Linked DNA regions of Stegostoma tigrinum. The protein of the gene in region 1 purifies or fractionates together with the protein of each later gene. This does not show direct contact. Links are inferred from orthologs where the notes say so. Each region holds a gene or a part of one and is shown in the gene's direction. Other genes may lie near its edges.

Region 1 (7,406 bases):
CCTTGGGGAAATTAGCTAGTGCTGTGTACAAATTTATTATTTTTCATCCAGAACAAGACAGTTTTGATAATGCATGTAATGTCTTTGAATGAAGGCCGTTTTCCACAGCACCAGATGAGCAGTTAGGATCCCCTTTCAATATTCAAAGGAGAGTACTTCAGCATTCAAAAAAGAATTCTGTCTGCCAACCCTCCTGTCATGTAACTTCATCAAATAGAAATAATTGGTTGAAAATTGTTTTGCTATCTGTGGGATCTAGCTGTACAAAATGTGGCTGTACTTTGCTTATGAAACAGTATTCTGAAGCAGTTCAAAACTTGATGCTTTTATATAAATAAATGTGGTACACAGTGATTGACATTTGAAAATGACATGCTGACTCAATGTGTGTGATATCATTTGTAATATTGGGTTCTAAAGTGGTCAAAACCATGTATAGTCTTAAATTTGATGTGCATTACCATATTGTGTTTCTATGTGTTAAGGGGAGATATGGGGGTTGAATTTTCTTAGATGCAGTAACTTTGTGCAGTTTACTAGTCTGCTTTTTTTTAAAATGAAAGGAGAGAGCTCCGAATTTCTATGATGAGATTCTGATCAGGGCTCCTTCAAAATGTGGAGCCATTCATCATTTCTGACAATTCTTTGGTAATGCTGAGGGTCCAGGAAAAGGCAAACCATAAACCCATGACAAAGGTCCAAAAACATTGTCGCTTTAACAGTTACTGATAAATAGTAAGCATATATGTTAAGTGTGAGGTTAGGGTGATGGCAAGGAAGGGGGCCAGGAGAGTGATCGCCTGGTATAGGTCAGGATGTGTGGGAATACTAGGTCTGGTGGGAAAGGATGCGAATTGGGTCAGGGGTTGCAAGTGCAGTAGAGGTGGAGAAGGGGGGTCAAGTCTCTGGGGTGGAAGGGAGAAGCAGGTTGGGTCCAGAACGGGCAAGGGGCAAAGCAGACTTGTGTCTGGGGAAAAGGGACGAGTGTGTCTGGAGCAGGTGAAGGGTGAGAGAGGATAAGGTTGGATCCAAAATGGTTGAAGATGGATTGGGTCTGAAATGGGGTGATATGCAGGAGTGTCAGGTGATGGTCAGGGAAGTGTAGCTGATCTGAAGGTGTGTTTGGAGTGTTAGGTTAAGACAATGCATTTAACAGTCTAACACTTTGATTTATGATTTACTAAATTTCACTGGAGACCTCTGAATTCTGTAGTTTAAATGGAGACTTCCAGAGAGTTCCAAGCATAGAGTAATTGCCCCTTGGAATCTTCAAATTTCTTGGCCATTCCTCTGATATCTGCCAGGATGGGGATCCACAGGGCTCACAGTGCAACTCCCATCAATGCTGGAATAACACCTATCTGGTCATCAGAAAACCCACACCATTGTTCCTGGAGTGTCTGAAGTTTGTTACACAGTAGACGTCCAGGCAAACAGTTTGGTCTATTAGGAAAAAGTGGTAGAAGAGCGTTTTTAAAAACAACTGCTGATGCCTAGCCAGTAAGGTCCAGCAGCGCACAAGATTGAGAAACTAACCCTATCGCAGGTAATGGGCAGACATTCCCTATGTGCGAAAAGGTGCTGCTTGTCTGGCAGTCTTCAAAAAGTCAGGGCTGGAGAAAAATTCCTGTGTGGCTCAAGGATAAAATATCCCCAGATGTTGGAAGCTGAGGTATAGAAGACATGTTTGCTTTGAAACTATTTGTAAGTTAACACCAAGAAAACTCCAGAAACCAATTATAGCTCAGCCAACTGAAGAAGAAACTTTAAAGTGGAAACAAGGTGACCTCAACTAACATTGAGCATCTGTCAGGTTCTTGTTGAGGGTAAATCTTTAGCTCTGGTAGAATCATAGAGCTGTACAGCATGGAAACAGACCTTTCGGTTCAACTTGTCCTTGCCAACCAGATATACGAAACCAATCCAAAAATAGGTCAAGAAACGCCTACAGAAACAGCATCAGAAAGATTCTACAGGCCCTGACAAATTCATCACACTACCCCACATCAGGAACATGTCAGAACTCACCACAAGACTTCTATGACCGCTGGGCATCAGAGTGGCACACAAACCCACATCAACCCTACGACAAGTACTCACCCGAACTAAAAACCCACTCCCCGCCATGGACAGGACCAATGTCACCTACAAGACCCCCTGCAGAGACTGAGAGAAACACTACATCGGACAAACAGGAAGGAAACTAACAACAAGAGCACATGAACACAAACTGGCTACAAAAAGACACGACCAATACTCACTCATCTCAATCCACATGGACAAGGAGAACCACAACTTCAACTGGGACAATGCCAAGATCCTGAGACAGGCTAGGCAGAGACAAGCACGAGAATTCCGGGAAGCATGGCACTCCACGAAGTAGGCTAATAATAAACACATTGAACTCCACCCCATGTACATTCCACTACGAAGGAAACCCAGAAGTGAGCCAGTCTATCGCAACAGACCCCAGGGTTTAAAAACCAGGCGGGAAAACCTCAACACCCACAACCCGAGCTACAGATCTACTCCAAAACCTTAGCAATCCAATTCCATTTGCCAGCATTTAGCCTGTATTCTTCTAAATCCTTCCTATTCATATACCCATCTAGATGCCTTTTAAAAGTTGTAAACGTACCAGCCTCCATCACTTACTCTGGCAGTTCATTCACCAGTTCATGTGCCACCCTCTGCAAGAAAATGTTGTCCCTTAGATCCCTTATAAATGTATGTAATCTAGTTTTGGATTCCCCTACCCTGGGGGAAAGGACCTTGGCTATTTACTCTTTCTATGTCCCTCATGATTTTATAAACCTTGATAAGGTCACTGCTCAACCTCCAATGCTCTGTGGAAAATAGCTACAGCCTATTCAGCCTCCACTTATAGCTCATCCCTCCAAACCTGGCAATGTCCTTGTAAATCTTTTCTGAATCCTTTCAAGTTTCACAACATTTTTCCTGTAGTAGGGAGATCACAAGTGAATGCAGTATACCAATCGTGGTCTAACCAATGTCCTGTACAGCTGCACGTGACCTCCTAACTCATCATCACTTTATCAGAGGCTGCACTGAGGATGTTACCAAGCATGATAACGAAATGTCTGTATAACAACAAACCAGCTCGGTGAGCCAACCAACCTCAACATCCATCTGCCACTCCTGAGCCCATTGCCTATTTGATCTGATCTGTTTCAAGTAGTTCTTTTGTGTAAAACAGTTCATGTATTTTTTTGGGTGAAATATACTTTGTACTTTTAATAAAAGAACATAATCATGAACACACCTGAACTGAAATATAAACAAATTACTAGGAAAAACTCAGCAAGTCTGTTGCCACCTGTAAAGAGGATGCAGTTAATGTTTCGGGTCCAGTGATCGACCTTCAGAACTAGGCTAGCAAGGTTTTCAGGGCGTCTATGCAAAAATATAATGCCAAGTTTCAGTTTGGGACCTGTCCACTTACAAAAAATGCAACATGTTTTGATGTAGGATGTCCAATTATTTCCGATAAGCCTAGTATTAACGAACTTTTTAAAGTACACATAAGCACACTAATAATCACTCAACATTTTTCGGGGAAGTGAGAACCTCCAATCGTTATTTTTAGTGTACACCTCATCCCCCTCTCTCCTGACAAGAGTCCAGGAAGTTCCGAGCAGTGGTCGCTGAAATCAGAAACACTTTCTCTGTACACACACTGCCGGACCTACCGAGTTTCTCGAACAATTTCTGTTCTTGTTTCGAGGATTAAAAAAAAATCTAACGTTCTGTACCCAAAGTGAAGGACAGCAATATTGGGTGGAGTTTGATGGGTGCCTGGGATAGAGGAAGATACTAGGGCTACTCCAGTGATTGACTGACAGATGCCTTACAGCCGCACGCACAACTCGCCCATCCACCGCTTTATTTACCAACCACCCTCCCACCCCTCTACAACCATACGTGCTGGCCGCCCGGGCTCTGATTGACGGCTGACTGTCCCAATCACTTTCTGTATGACATCCATCAATCATCTGCAAGCCCCACCTTCCGTCACTTTCCTCCAATCGCTGAACCAGCAGGTTAGATTTTACCCCTTCACTTTGTGCGTATGTTTTCAATTTTTAAAAAAGAGTCGTCTTTTCCTTTAACAAAATGCTCGAACTTGACAGGCGTCGACAACGCTTTTCCCTTACACACAACTTAACGGACTGCTCGGCCGATCCGAAAAAGAACTCCCTCCATCGCCAGGTTAAGCGACGGCCGTAACCTTTCACCCTCGAAATCTCGAACCCGCGCTCCAAGCGCGCACTGTGCGGTGCTGATGGACAGCAGACACAGCCAATCGGAGGGCGGCAGCGTGCGGTGTTCAGCCAATGGCGATGGAGAAGGTCCGGGTGTTTCCGGCAGGCCGTTCGGGTCTGCTCGGTGGCGGGAGGTGTCGATCGGCCGCCGGTCAGGAGCCGAGCTGCGGAACATCCCGCCATTTTTGAACTCTGCCGCTGGAGCCGGGGCGTGAGGATCGCGCCTTCTCTTTCACTTTTGGGCGATCGGAGCAGCCGAGAAACGGACAGTCCTTTAACCTATTTTCCCCACCCTCCCCCTTCCCCATCACCACCGGCAGGAGCTCCCTTTGAGAGCCGAGCCGGCTGGCCGGCTGGACCATGGCGCCGCTGCTGGGCAGGAAGCCATTCCCGTTGGTGAAGCCGCTTACAGATCTGTCGGCAGAGGAGACTATCTATGTGATCGAGCACAGCGGAGAGGGGTTTCGGAGCAACGAGTATCCTTTAGATCCGAGCCAGGGACCTGAGGGGATCGGAACCCGGCCTTGGGCGATAGCCGGCGTCTCCTAGGGACAGGGGCCTAGGTTTGAGGCAGGAGCTGCCGGGAAGGAGATGCTGTGGGGAGATAGCGCCCTGCTGTCACTATCTGTCAGCGCAGGCCTGTTCAGCGGCAGTGTCCTCCAGAGTGAATTCAGTCAACGTTACCAACTCTACAAGTTAGTCATTGTCAGGAGGCCCTTTGCTGCCAGGCTGGGCCTACTCTTGGGCATTTTTACCGTGCAGTCCTGGAGGGGAATAAATAAAGGGGCCGCACGGGAACGAGCTTCTTCTCAGCTCACAAGTTAAACGTGTGGCTGGCCTACGGTTCCATGTTTAACTACTTTGACGACAGGACTGACTGCAGCTGTCAAAAGACTGGTCCAGCGCTTTCCCTGCTTAATGCTGATGCTTCCACAGCATCAACCTTTTTAACGAGTGAATGACTTGTTATTTAAGCAACTTTGTGAATTTGTTACTCAAATTGCTTTTAGTCACTTTGGATCTGTATTAAATTGAGTAGCTTCATGCAGAAATGAAAATTACGTGTACTGGAGACACGCACAAATAGCTGAAAATGCTAGAGGCACACAGCAGGCCAGTCGTCATCTGGAACTCAGGGGGTTGTGATATTGGATTGTGGTCTTCAGTTAGTGATCTATTCTCTTTTGTAAAATGCTGTTGTCTGTGTGCTTTAATTGTTGTTTAGAGCTAAATGTTCTATATGTTTCTGATATGGACAGTATTGTCTTCTGTGAAGCTTTAGGAATGCTATCTGAAATGAAACTGTTTAATGTATTAAAGTACTTTGAGGAAAGCTTGATTCAAGAATGCATTGGAACAGTTAGAAAGATGTCAGAGTGTTTTTTAAAAAAATTAGACTTTTTTGGGTTTGTGTTCTGAACTTATTTTTATTTCTGATCTACAGGAGTGCTTACACCTCCCCCCTCACCTCCCTTCAAGGCCCAAAGCCAACCTTTGATATTTGACAGGGGTTCACCTATACATGTGCCAACTTGGCCTACTGTACCGCTGCTCCTGATGTGGCCTCCTTGACATGGGTGAGACCAAGCGGATACTGTGGGACAGTTTCGTAGAGCATCTGCACTCTGTAGGTGATAAACGGCAACATCTTCCATTTGCCAACCATTTTAACTGCTCCCTTCACTCCTTGGGTGACATATCCATCCTGGGCTTCCTCCTGTGCCGCAATGACACCATATGCAAACTGGAGGAGCCTATAGCCTGATTGCCTGAACATAGAATTCACCAGTTTTAAACCCCCCCCCCCCCCCCCCCCCAGCATCCCTCTCATCCCTGCCGCCTTGACCTGATACAACCTGTTTATCTTCCACACCTATTCGCCCTACCCTTCCTTTCGACCAATCCCCACCACTCCTTACCTGCATTCATCTATCACCATCCCACCTACCTTCCTCAGCCTCACCTGTCTTCTCAATTTATTTCCCAGCTCCCTGCCCCCTCCCCATTTCTGAAGAAGGGTCCTGACTGGAAGCGTCAACTTTCCTGCTCCTCTGATGCTGCCTGGCCTGCTGTGTTCCTCCAGCTCCACACTGTTGTCTCTGACTCCAGCATCTGCAATTCTTGCTGTCTCTGAGTTCACATACTTTGTTTGCTGAAGGCGCAGCTCATGCTTTTCATTCTAAAATGCAATACAAAAATTCTACAAGGGTTTTGCATGCAAGAAATGTAAGTGAAAGAAAATATAATCCCTCTAAAAGCAGTATGTACATCAATTCCAGCAAAAAGCTTCATTAACTTATTTTATTCCCTTAGCTGTGGCTACCAGTTTAACCTTTATAGTAGCTTGTACAGATTCGCACAAGGTTTGTGTGGAAGGTTTCAAAATAGAATGACTTCCGTGTCACTAGCTAAGCTGTTTGAATGTATTGGTAAGGATTTTTTGAGAAAAGAAAAGCTTTATTTAAAATAAATCTTTAACTTTTGAGTTATGGCAGTTTGTGTAAAGTTTCCAGTTTTTTTTAAGTTTATCTAGGTTTGGAATCTGTGAACTTGAGAACACAGTCTGCTTTGATCAATAGCATCCTGCTTTCATTGAGATCTGTAAGAGCAGTACTGCAGTTCTCCTGTCAAGTGGCTAAAGTTTAGAACTCTGATTTGTCATACCTTCGTGGTCATCAAGATGCTTTGGGTACAGCATTTCATGATTACAAGCCCTTTTTTTAAATGAAGAAAAGAAGACTGGTTACCTTAAAAAAAGTTCAAACACTGCTATAGTACAGTTATCTGGCCAATCTTGTTTAGAAATGGCACTAGGATATCAGTGTATTTGAATCTATTCTTCAGATGAGAGGTTGGAGGTGACTGGAGTGCCGGAACAAAATCATTGTCTGCTCTTGTGGAAAACCATTTTACTGGTGTTTTGATGAGCTTATACCACATTGGAAAAAGAACTTTGATTAGCCATCATTGCCTGTCTGCAGATCTTTACTTGCAGCACTGTAAGTGGTGCTGAAGGCCTTGGAAAAGTGAGAAAATTTGTGTTTTTGAAACAGGGCTGAACGCGATGATTGATTATGACTCATTGCCATCCAAATTTGACACTATGGCAGAAGGAGTTATTCT
Region 2 (7,866 bases), about 34 Mb from region 1:
CCCACACACACACCCCCACCCCCGTCTCCCTCCCCCAGTCCCCACACACACCCCCACCCCGTCTCCCTCCCCCAGTCCCCCACACACACCCCCACCCCGTCTCCCTCCCCCACTCACACACACACCCCCACCCCGTCTCCCTCCCCCACTCCCCACACACACCCCCACCCCGTCTCCCTCCCCACACACACCCCCACCCCGTCTCCCTCCCCCCCTCACACACACACACACACACACCCACCCCGTCTCCCTCCCCCACTCCCCACACACACCCCCACCCCGTCTTCCGCCCCACACACACCCCCACTCCATCTCCCTCCCCACACACACCCCCAATCCGTCTCCCTCCCCCCCACCCCACCCCACACACCCCCCCCAGCGACTCCCTCCCCCACCCCACCATCTCCCTCCCACCTCCCCGCGCCCCCACTCTCACCATCTCCCACTCCCCCATTCCGTCTCCCTTCCCGCCAACCCCAAACCCCGTAACCCTTCCCCACTCCCCGCCAACCCCCATCGCCCACCCCCCGTCTCTCTCCCTCGCTCCCCCACACAGCCCCCGTCTCCCTCCCAAATCATCCCCCCAACTCACAACCCCCGTCTCCCTCCCACCCACACCCCCCCGTCTCCCTCCATCCCCCCACACACTGCTGCCCAGTCTCCTCCCTCCCCCCGACACCCACACCACACCACCCCCCGTCTCTCTCCCTCCCACCCACACACCGTCCCCGTCTCCCTCACACCCACACTCCCCACGGTCTCCCTCCCTCCACCCACACACCGTCCCCGTCTCCCTCACACCCACACTCCCCACGGTCTCCCTCACACCCACACTCCCCACGGTCTCCCTCACACCCACAACTCCCCACGGTCTCCCTCCCTCCCACACACACCCCACCACCTCCCTCCCTCCCACCCGCCCACATTCCCCCCGTCTCCCTCCCACCCGCCCACATTCCCCCCGTCTCCCTCCCCACACCGCCCCCGTCTCCCTCCTCCCACCCACCCACACACCCCCCCACCCACATTCCCCCCGTCTCCCTCCCTTCCCCAGTCTCCCTCCCTCCCCCCCTCCCATCCCCGCCCCCACCCACCCCCTCCCCCCCACCCGCCGCCTCCCTCCCCCCCCTCCCCAACCATTCCCACCCACACCCCGTCCCTCCCTCCCCACACACCCAGGACCCCGTCTCCCCTCCCTCCCCACACCCTCATCCCGTCTCCCCCCGCAACACACACACCCCGACCCCGTCTCCCTCCCCTCCCTCCCCCCCACCCCGTCTCCCTCCCCCTCCCTCCCCCCCACCCCGCCTCCCTCTCCTCTCCCTCTCCCCCTCCCTCCCTCCCCCCCCGACTCCCTCCCCCGACCCCTCCCTCCGACCCCTCCCTCCCTCCCTCCTGACCCCTCCCTCCCTCCCGACCCCTCCCTCCCTCCCTCCCGACCGCCCGACCCCCCCCTCCCTCCCGACCCCTCCCTCCCTCCCGACCCCGACCCCTCCCTCCCTCCCTCCCGACCCCTCCCTCCCGACCCCGACCCCTCCCTCCCTCCCGACCCCGACCCCTCCCTCCCTCCCTCCCGACCCCTCCTCCCTCCCGACCCCTCCTCCCCTCCCTCCCGACCCCTCCCTCCCTCCCTCCCGACCCCTCCCTCCCTCCCTCCCGACCCCGACCCCGACCCTCCCTCCCGACCCCCCCGACCCCTCCCCTCCCTCTCCCGACCCCGACCCTCCCTCCCGACCCCGACCCCTCCCTCCCTCTCCCGACCCTCCCTCCCTCCCTCCCTCCCGACCCCTCCCTCCTCCCTCCCTCCCGACCCCGACCCCTCCCTCCCTCCCGACCCCGACACCCCCTCCCTCCCGACCCCGACACCGACCCTCCCTCCCGACCCCGACCCCCCCCCCTCCCTCCCGACCCCGACCCCCCCCTCCCTCCCGACCCCGACCCCCCCCTCCCTCCCGACCCGACCCCCCCCTCCCTCCCGACCCCGACCCCGACCCCCCCCCCCCCGACCCCCGACCCCCCCCTCCCGACCCCGACCCCCCCTCCCGACCCCGACCCCCCCCTCCCTCCCGACCCCGACCCCCCCCTCCCTCCCGACCCCGACCCCGACCTCCCTCCCGACCCCGACCTCCCTCCCGACCCCGACCCCGACCCCGACCTCCCTCCCGACCCCGACCCCGACCTCCCTCCCGACCCCCGACCCCGACCTCCCTCCCGACCCCGACCCCGACCTCCCTCCCGACCCCGACCCCGACCTCCCTCCCGACCCCGACCCCGACCTCCCTCCCGACCCCGACCCCCCCCCTCCCGACCCCCGACCCCGACCCCCCCCCCGACCCCCGACCCCCCGACCCCCGACCCCCCCCGACCCCCGACCCCGACCCCCCCGACCCCGACCCCCCCCGACCCCGACCCCGACCCCCCCCCGACCCGACCCGACCCGACCCCCCCCCGACCCCGACCCCGACCCCGACCCCGACCCCCCCCCGACCCCGACCCCCGACCCCCCCCCCACCCCCCCCCTCCCCCCCCACCCCCCCCCCTCCCCCCTCCCCCCCCCACCCCCCCCCTCCCCCCCGACCCCCCGACCCCCCCCCCGACCCCCCGACCCCCCCCCCCTCCCCCCCGACCCCCCCCCTCCCCCCCGACCCCCGACCTCCCCCCCGACCCCCCCCCCCCCCGACCTCCCCCCGACCCCGACCCCCCCCCGACCCCCCCCCTCCCACCCCGACATCCCCCCCGACCCCGACCCCCCCCGACCCCCCGACCCCCCCCCGACCCCCCCCTCCACCCGACATCCCCCCCGACCCCGACCCCCACCCCCCCCCGACCCCCCCCCCCTCCCACCCGACATCCCCCCCGACCCCGACCCCCACCCCCCCCGACCCCGACCCCCCCCCCGACCCCCCCCTCCCCCCCGACCCCCCCCCCGACCCCCCCCCCTCCCCCCCGACCCCCCCCCTCCCCCCCGACCCCCCCCCTCCCCCCCGACCCCCCCCCCCCGACCCCCCCCCGACCCCCCCCCCCCCGACCTCCCCCCCGACCCCGACCCCCCCCCGACCCCCCCCCTCCCACCCGACATCCCCCCCGACCCCGACCCCCCCCCGACCCCCCCCCTCCCACCCGACATCCCCCCCGACCCCGACCCCCCCCGACCCCGACCCCCCCCCCCTCCCCCCCGACCCCCCCCCCTCCCCCCCGACCCCCCCCCCCTCCCCCCCGACCCCCCCCTCCCCCCCGACCTCCCCCCCCGACCCCGACCCTCCCCCCCCGACCCCGACCCCCCCCCTCCCCCCCGACCCTCCCCCCCGACATCCCCCCCGACCCCGACCCCCCCCCGACCCCCGACCCCGACCCCCCCCCCTCCCCCCCGACCCCCCCCCTCCCCCCCGACCCCCCCCCCCCCTCCCCCCCGACCCCCCCCCTCCCCCCCGACCTCCCCCCCGACCCGACCCTCCCCCCGACCCCCCCCCTCCCCCCCGACCTCCCCCCCGACCCCGACCCTCCCCCCCGACCCTCCCCCCCGACCCCGACCCCCCCCCTCCCCCCCGACCCCCCCCCTCCCCCCCGACCCTCCCCCCCGACCCTCCCCCCCGACCCCGACCCCCCCCCTCCCCCCCGACCCCGACCCCCCCCTCCCCCCCGACCCCCCCCCCGACCCCGACCCCCCCCCCGACCCCCCCCCCGACCCCCCCCCCGACCCCGACCCCCCCCCCGACCCCCCCCCGACCCCCCCGACCCCGACCGACCCCCCCGACCCGACCCCCCCCCCCGACCCCGACCGACCCCCCCGACCCCGACCCCCCCCCCCGACCCCGACCCCCCCCCCGACCCCCCCCCCCGACCTCCCCCCGACCCCGACCCCCCCCCGACCCCCCCCTCCCACCCGACATCCCCCCCGACCCCCCCCCGACCCCCCCCCCCTCCCCCCCCCCGACCCCCCCCCCCCCCTCCCCCCCGACCCCCCCCCCCCCTCCCCCCCGACCCCCCCCCCCTCCCCCCGACCCCGACCCCCCCCCTCCCTCCCGACCCCGACCCCCCCTCCCTCCCGACCCCGACCCCCCTCCCTCCCGACCCCGACCCCCCTCCCTCCCGACCCCCCTCCCTCCCGACCCCGACCCCCTCCCGACCCCGACCCCCCTCCCGACCCCGACCCCCCTCCCTCCCGACCCCGACCCCCCTCCCTCCCGACCCCGACCCCCCTCCCGACCCCGACCCCCCTCCCTCCCGACCCCGACCCCCCTCCCTCCCGACCCCGACCCCCCTCCCGACCCCGACCCCCCTCCCTCCCGACCCCGACCCCCCTCCCTCCCGACCCCGACCCCCCTCCCGACCCCGACCCCCCTCCCGACCCCCCTCCCGACCCCCCTCCCGACCCCGACCCCGACCCCGACCCCGACCCCGACCTCCCTCCCGACCCCGACCTCCCTCCCGACCCCGACCTCCCTCCCGACCCCGACCCCCCCCATTCCGCCACCCCACCCCATTCCGCCACCCCACCCCATTCCGCCACCCCCACCCCACACACCCCGCACACCCCGTCTCCTTCCCTCCCCACAACACAACACCCCGTCTCCCACTCTCCCTCCAACTCCCGTCTCTTCCCTCCCCGTGTGACTCTCCCACTCCCCTCCCACTCCCGTCTCTTCCCTCCCCGTGTGACTCTCCCACTCTCCCTCCCACTCCCGTCTCTTCCCTCCCCGTGTGACTCTCCCACTCTCCCTCCCACTCCCGTCTCTTCCCTCCCGTGTGACTCTCCCACTCTCCCTCCCACTCCCGTCTCTTCCCTCCCGTGTGACTCTCCCACTCTCCTCCCACTCCCGTCTCTTCCCTCCCCGTGTGACTCTCCCACTCCCGTCTCTTCCCTCCCCGTGTGACTCTCCCATTCCTGTTTACGCGGCTCTGGTTGGTCGCCGTGTTGCTGTATTATTTTTTGGAAAGTCCAGTCGGAGCGAGAGGGTGTGGGAGGAATGAGACAGAGCGCTGATTGTGAGAGGCAGAGAGAGAGAGAAGGAGCGGCCCGGGCCCGGCTTGAAGCGGACACCAACAGCTGCTTGCGGCCAGAATGAAGTTCCGCAGCGGCCGGCCTGGGGTAAGGACTCTCACTGGAGCGGGGCCTCGCCTCCCGTCAGAAACTTAGCTCGTAGCACAGAGACCGACTGGACCGGAGCTGCACTCATTAGGACTGACTGGGACTGGGACTGGGACTGGTCTGTGCTGAGCTGGTTTAGTTTCTGAATTTGTTGGGATATCTCTCCACCAGTTCAGGTTAAACTGGAGTCACATCCCAGGCCAGACACAGCGAACAAAAATGGTAACACTTTGTAACTTGCCCTTAGTTAAATGTGTATGATGAGATGTAATTTGTTCCTGGTTCAGGGGTTCTTGTTATTTCCAAATTTTTGAACAGTTACTTGAAATGACAAAGTTTAATGTTACTTTTAAAAAGTCGTCGTATCCGAGATGTGTTTATTCTGTTGACTGAGGTGGTGAGTTTTGCAGGTCTGTGTTGGAGTGTTTCCAACCACCCGGTTGCCGAACAACCTAGAATCTGCAGCCAGATCAGGCATACAAGGAGATTGGAATCAAAGTTCTGAAGTTAAATGTCACTGCCTACACGACATTGCTTCAAATTTCTTCTATTGCCCTTTTGAGCGTGGAGTACAATGTACCTTTCTGTTCAAGATAAGTAATGTCAGTTCATCGGTTTGACTTCTGAATCTGTCTAAGCTAGTTAACCAGGTTGCATTTCAAACCTGCTTTCCATCAGGAGCTGTTGGATTCCAAGTAGTCCCTTTTCAAAAGTCCACCCCATACTGCAGTTTTATTTCTTTAAGAAAATTGTCTAATTCTGAAGAAAATGGGCATTATTGGTGAGAGCAGCATTTATTGCCTAATGCTAATTACTTCTCAAAAAGTTTGCCTTCCACAACTATTTCAGCCTTGATTCGGTGCTGAAGGAGCGACTGATAGATGCCGTGTTAATGTTACAGAGGCTGAGTTATTGACACAGGACGAGTTCAAATCCCATCGAGGTAGCTGAGGGAATTTAAATTCAATTTACAAAATAAACAATCTGGAATGAAAAGCTGGTCTCATTGACAGTGATGATGAAATCATCTGGTTGACATAAAACTCATCCGGTTCTCTAACTCTGATCCTGATGTTCTTCACTCACCTGGTCTGGTCTACTTGTGACTCCAGATCCACAGTATGATGGTTGTGTCTTAATTGCCCCTTGTGGTGAGTGTGGAAGAGGAGGTAGGAGAGGAGTGAGGAGGGGGAGAGGGCACTTATTTATGAATAAGATTTAGAGGAACACTAACTGTTTTGGGGAAACATTGACAGTGGAGTTGGCTTGGAGAGAGGAAGCTCAAGATGATTGTATCACATGATGAGGTTTTTCCTATTATTGGGGAAGTTCGGTGCAGGAGGCTGAGACATTTGGATAAATGATCATATCGGTTGCTCCTGTCTTACTGTAAGATCAGTCCAAATAAGGTATCTCATGGGTTGAAGTGCAGTGATTTTAATTGCTGGTGATGTGAGTCTTGACCCAGCGCTAATATTCCCAGTTCAATCTCATCACCACCATAACTAATAGATGCCCTTAACGTTTGCGTGGCCTGCTTCATAACCAGCCTGGAACTGGGACTAAGTGTTTCCTGACCCTTTTAACCATTCTCATTGCTCACAATGTTCATATTATCTCTATGCAAATATTGGGAAAAAATGATTTTTTTTTAAAAAAAGGAACTTCTGAAGTTTATCTTTGCTGATTATTACCTCTGAGTCATTTGGGGTTCTGATACACATTTTGGAAAGCATAGGCATCTAACAGATTTTTGATAGTTTATTGCAATAAAATCAAAGATGTTTCAGGAGAGAAAGAAGCTATTTGTTCTATCAAGCCTGTGCCAATACCAGTCCTTCATGGATTACGTGCTACAATCCTATTCCTCTGTTCTTTTTCTGAGACTGTGCTCCTGTCCAACTGTCATGTTAGTATCTGAAAGTATGTCTCTCTCTCTCTCTCTCTCTCTCTCTCTCTCTCTCTCTCTCTCTCTCTCTCTCTCTCTCTCTCTCTCTCTCTCTCTCCATACTAAACGCGCTGCCAGTAGCCCCCCTCTCTCCCTCTGTCCCTCTCTGACGAGCATGCAGTACTGGATAAGTCAAGAGGAATCCCTCTGTGTGATTCAGATGCCAAAAAGTGAACAATGGATGGTAGTAATGCCAAGATTGGCAGGGAGTGGCTGTCCGTGTCTCTCTGTGCAGTGCCTGTGTGTCCCACTCTGTCTGTCTGTGTGTCTGTCTCCCTCACTATCTATTTGTGCATCCGCGTGTCTCTCTCTCTTGCCCCCCTCCCCTTTCTTTCTGTATCCTTTAGTGTGTGTGTCTGTCTGTGTCTCTCTCTTTGTTTTATTGTCTGTCTGTATTTGCCTCTTTTTCTGTTAGTGTTTGTGCCTTTCTGTACACGTGTGGGTGTCTTAATATTTGTGGAACCATATGTATCTTTGTATCCCAGGGAAACAGCCGGGTTGGTGGGGTAGGCCGTGGTGTCCCAGAGAGAGAGTATGGTGCTGTAGGGAGTGGTCAGGATGCATAGATCCAGAGGAGGGAGGGACGGGCCTAGGTAGTCCCCAAGGGTTATTGGGGGCAGAGGCTTCTTCCTTGGTGTTACAAGTATTGTGCCTGGCTGATGTAATCCTGGTCAGTCACTGGCTTTGCAAACTCTCTCACTGTGACCGGATTCCTTCACTGTTGTTTTTCCTGAAACACAGATGTTAAAGTAGCCCTTTTACAGTGCTGATTCTGTAAACCAGAATATTCCTGAATTGTCACAGGTCCAGCAGATTTTTAGAACTCGGT

What was found.
Region 2: the proteins of baz1b (region 1) and unconventional myosin-Ic-like purify together in Homo sapiens (affinity purification with western blotting; 3 studies listed by BioGRID, with this or other methods). This does not show direct contact. The link is inferred for Stegostoma tigrinum from reciprocal best matches to the Homo sapiens genes BAZ1B and MYO1C.

The regions. Positions count from the first base shown.
Region 1 is NC_081380.1:13,702,910-13,710,315, reverse strand, and holds the start of baz1b (tyrosine-protein kinase BAZ1B), read left to right. Parts: upstream 1-4,397; 5' UTR 4,398-4,643; coding exon 4,644-4,759; intron 4,760-7,406. UniProt on the Homo sapiens protein: Atypical tyrosine-protein kinase that plays a central role in chromatin remodeling and acts as a transcription regulator. Involved in DNA damage response by phosphorylating 'Tyr-142' of histone H2AX (H2AXY142ph).
Region 2 is NC_081380.1:47,583,256-47,591,121, forward strand, and holds the start of unconventional myosin-Ic-like, read left to right. Parts: upstream 1-4,847; 5' UTR 4,848-5,062; coding exon 5,063-5,089; intron 5,090-7,866.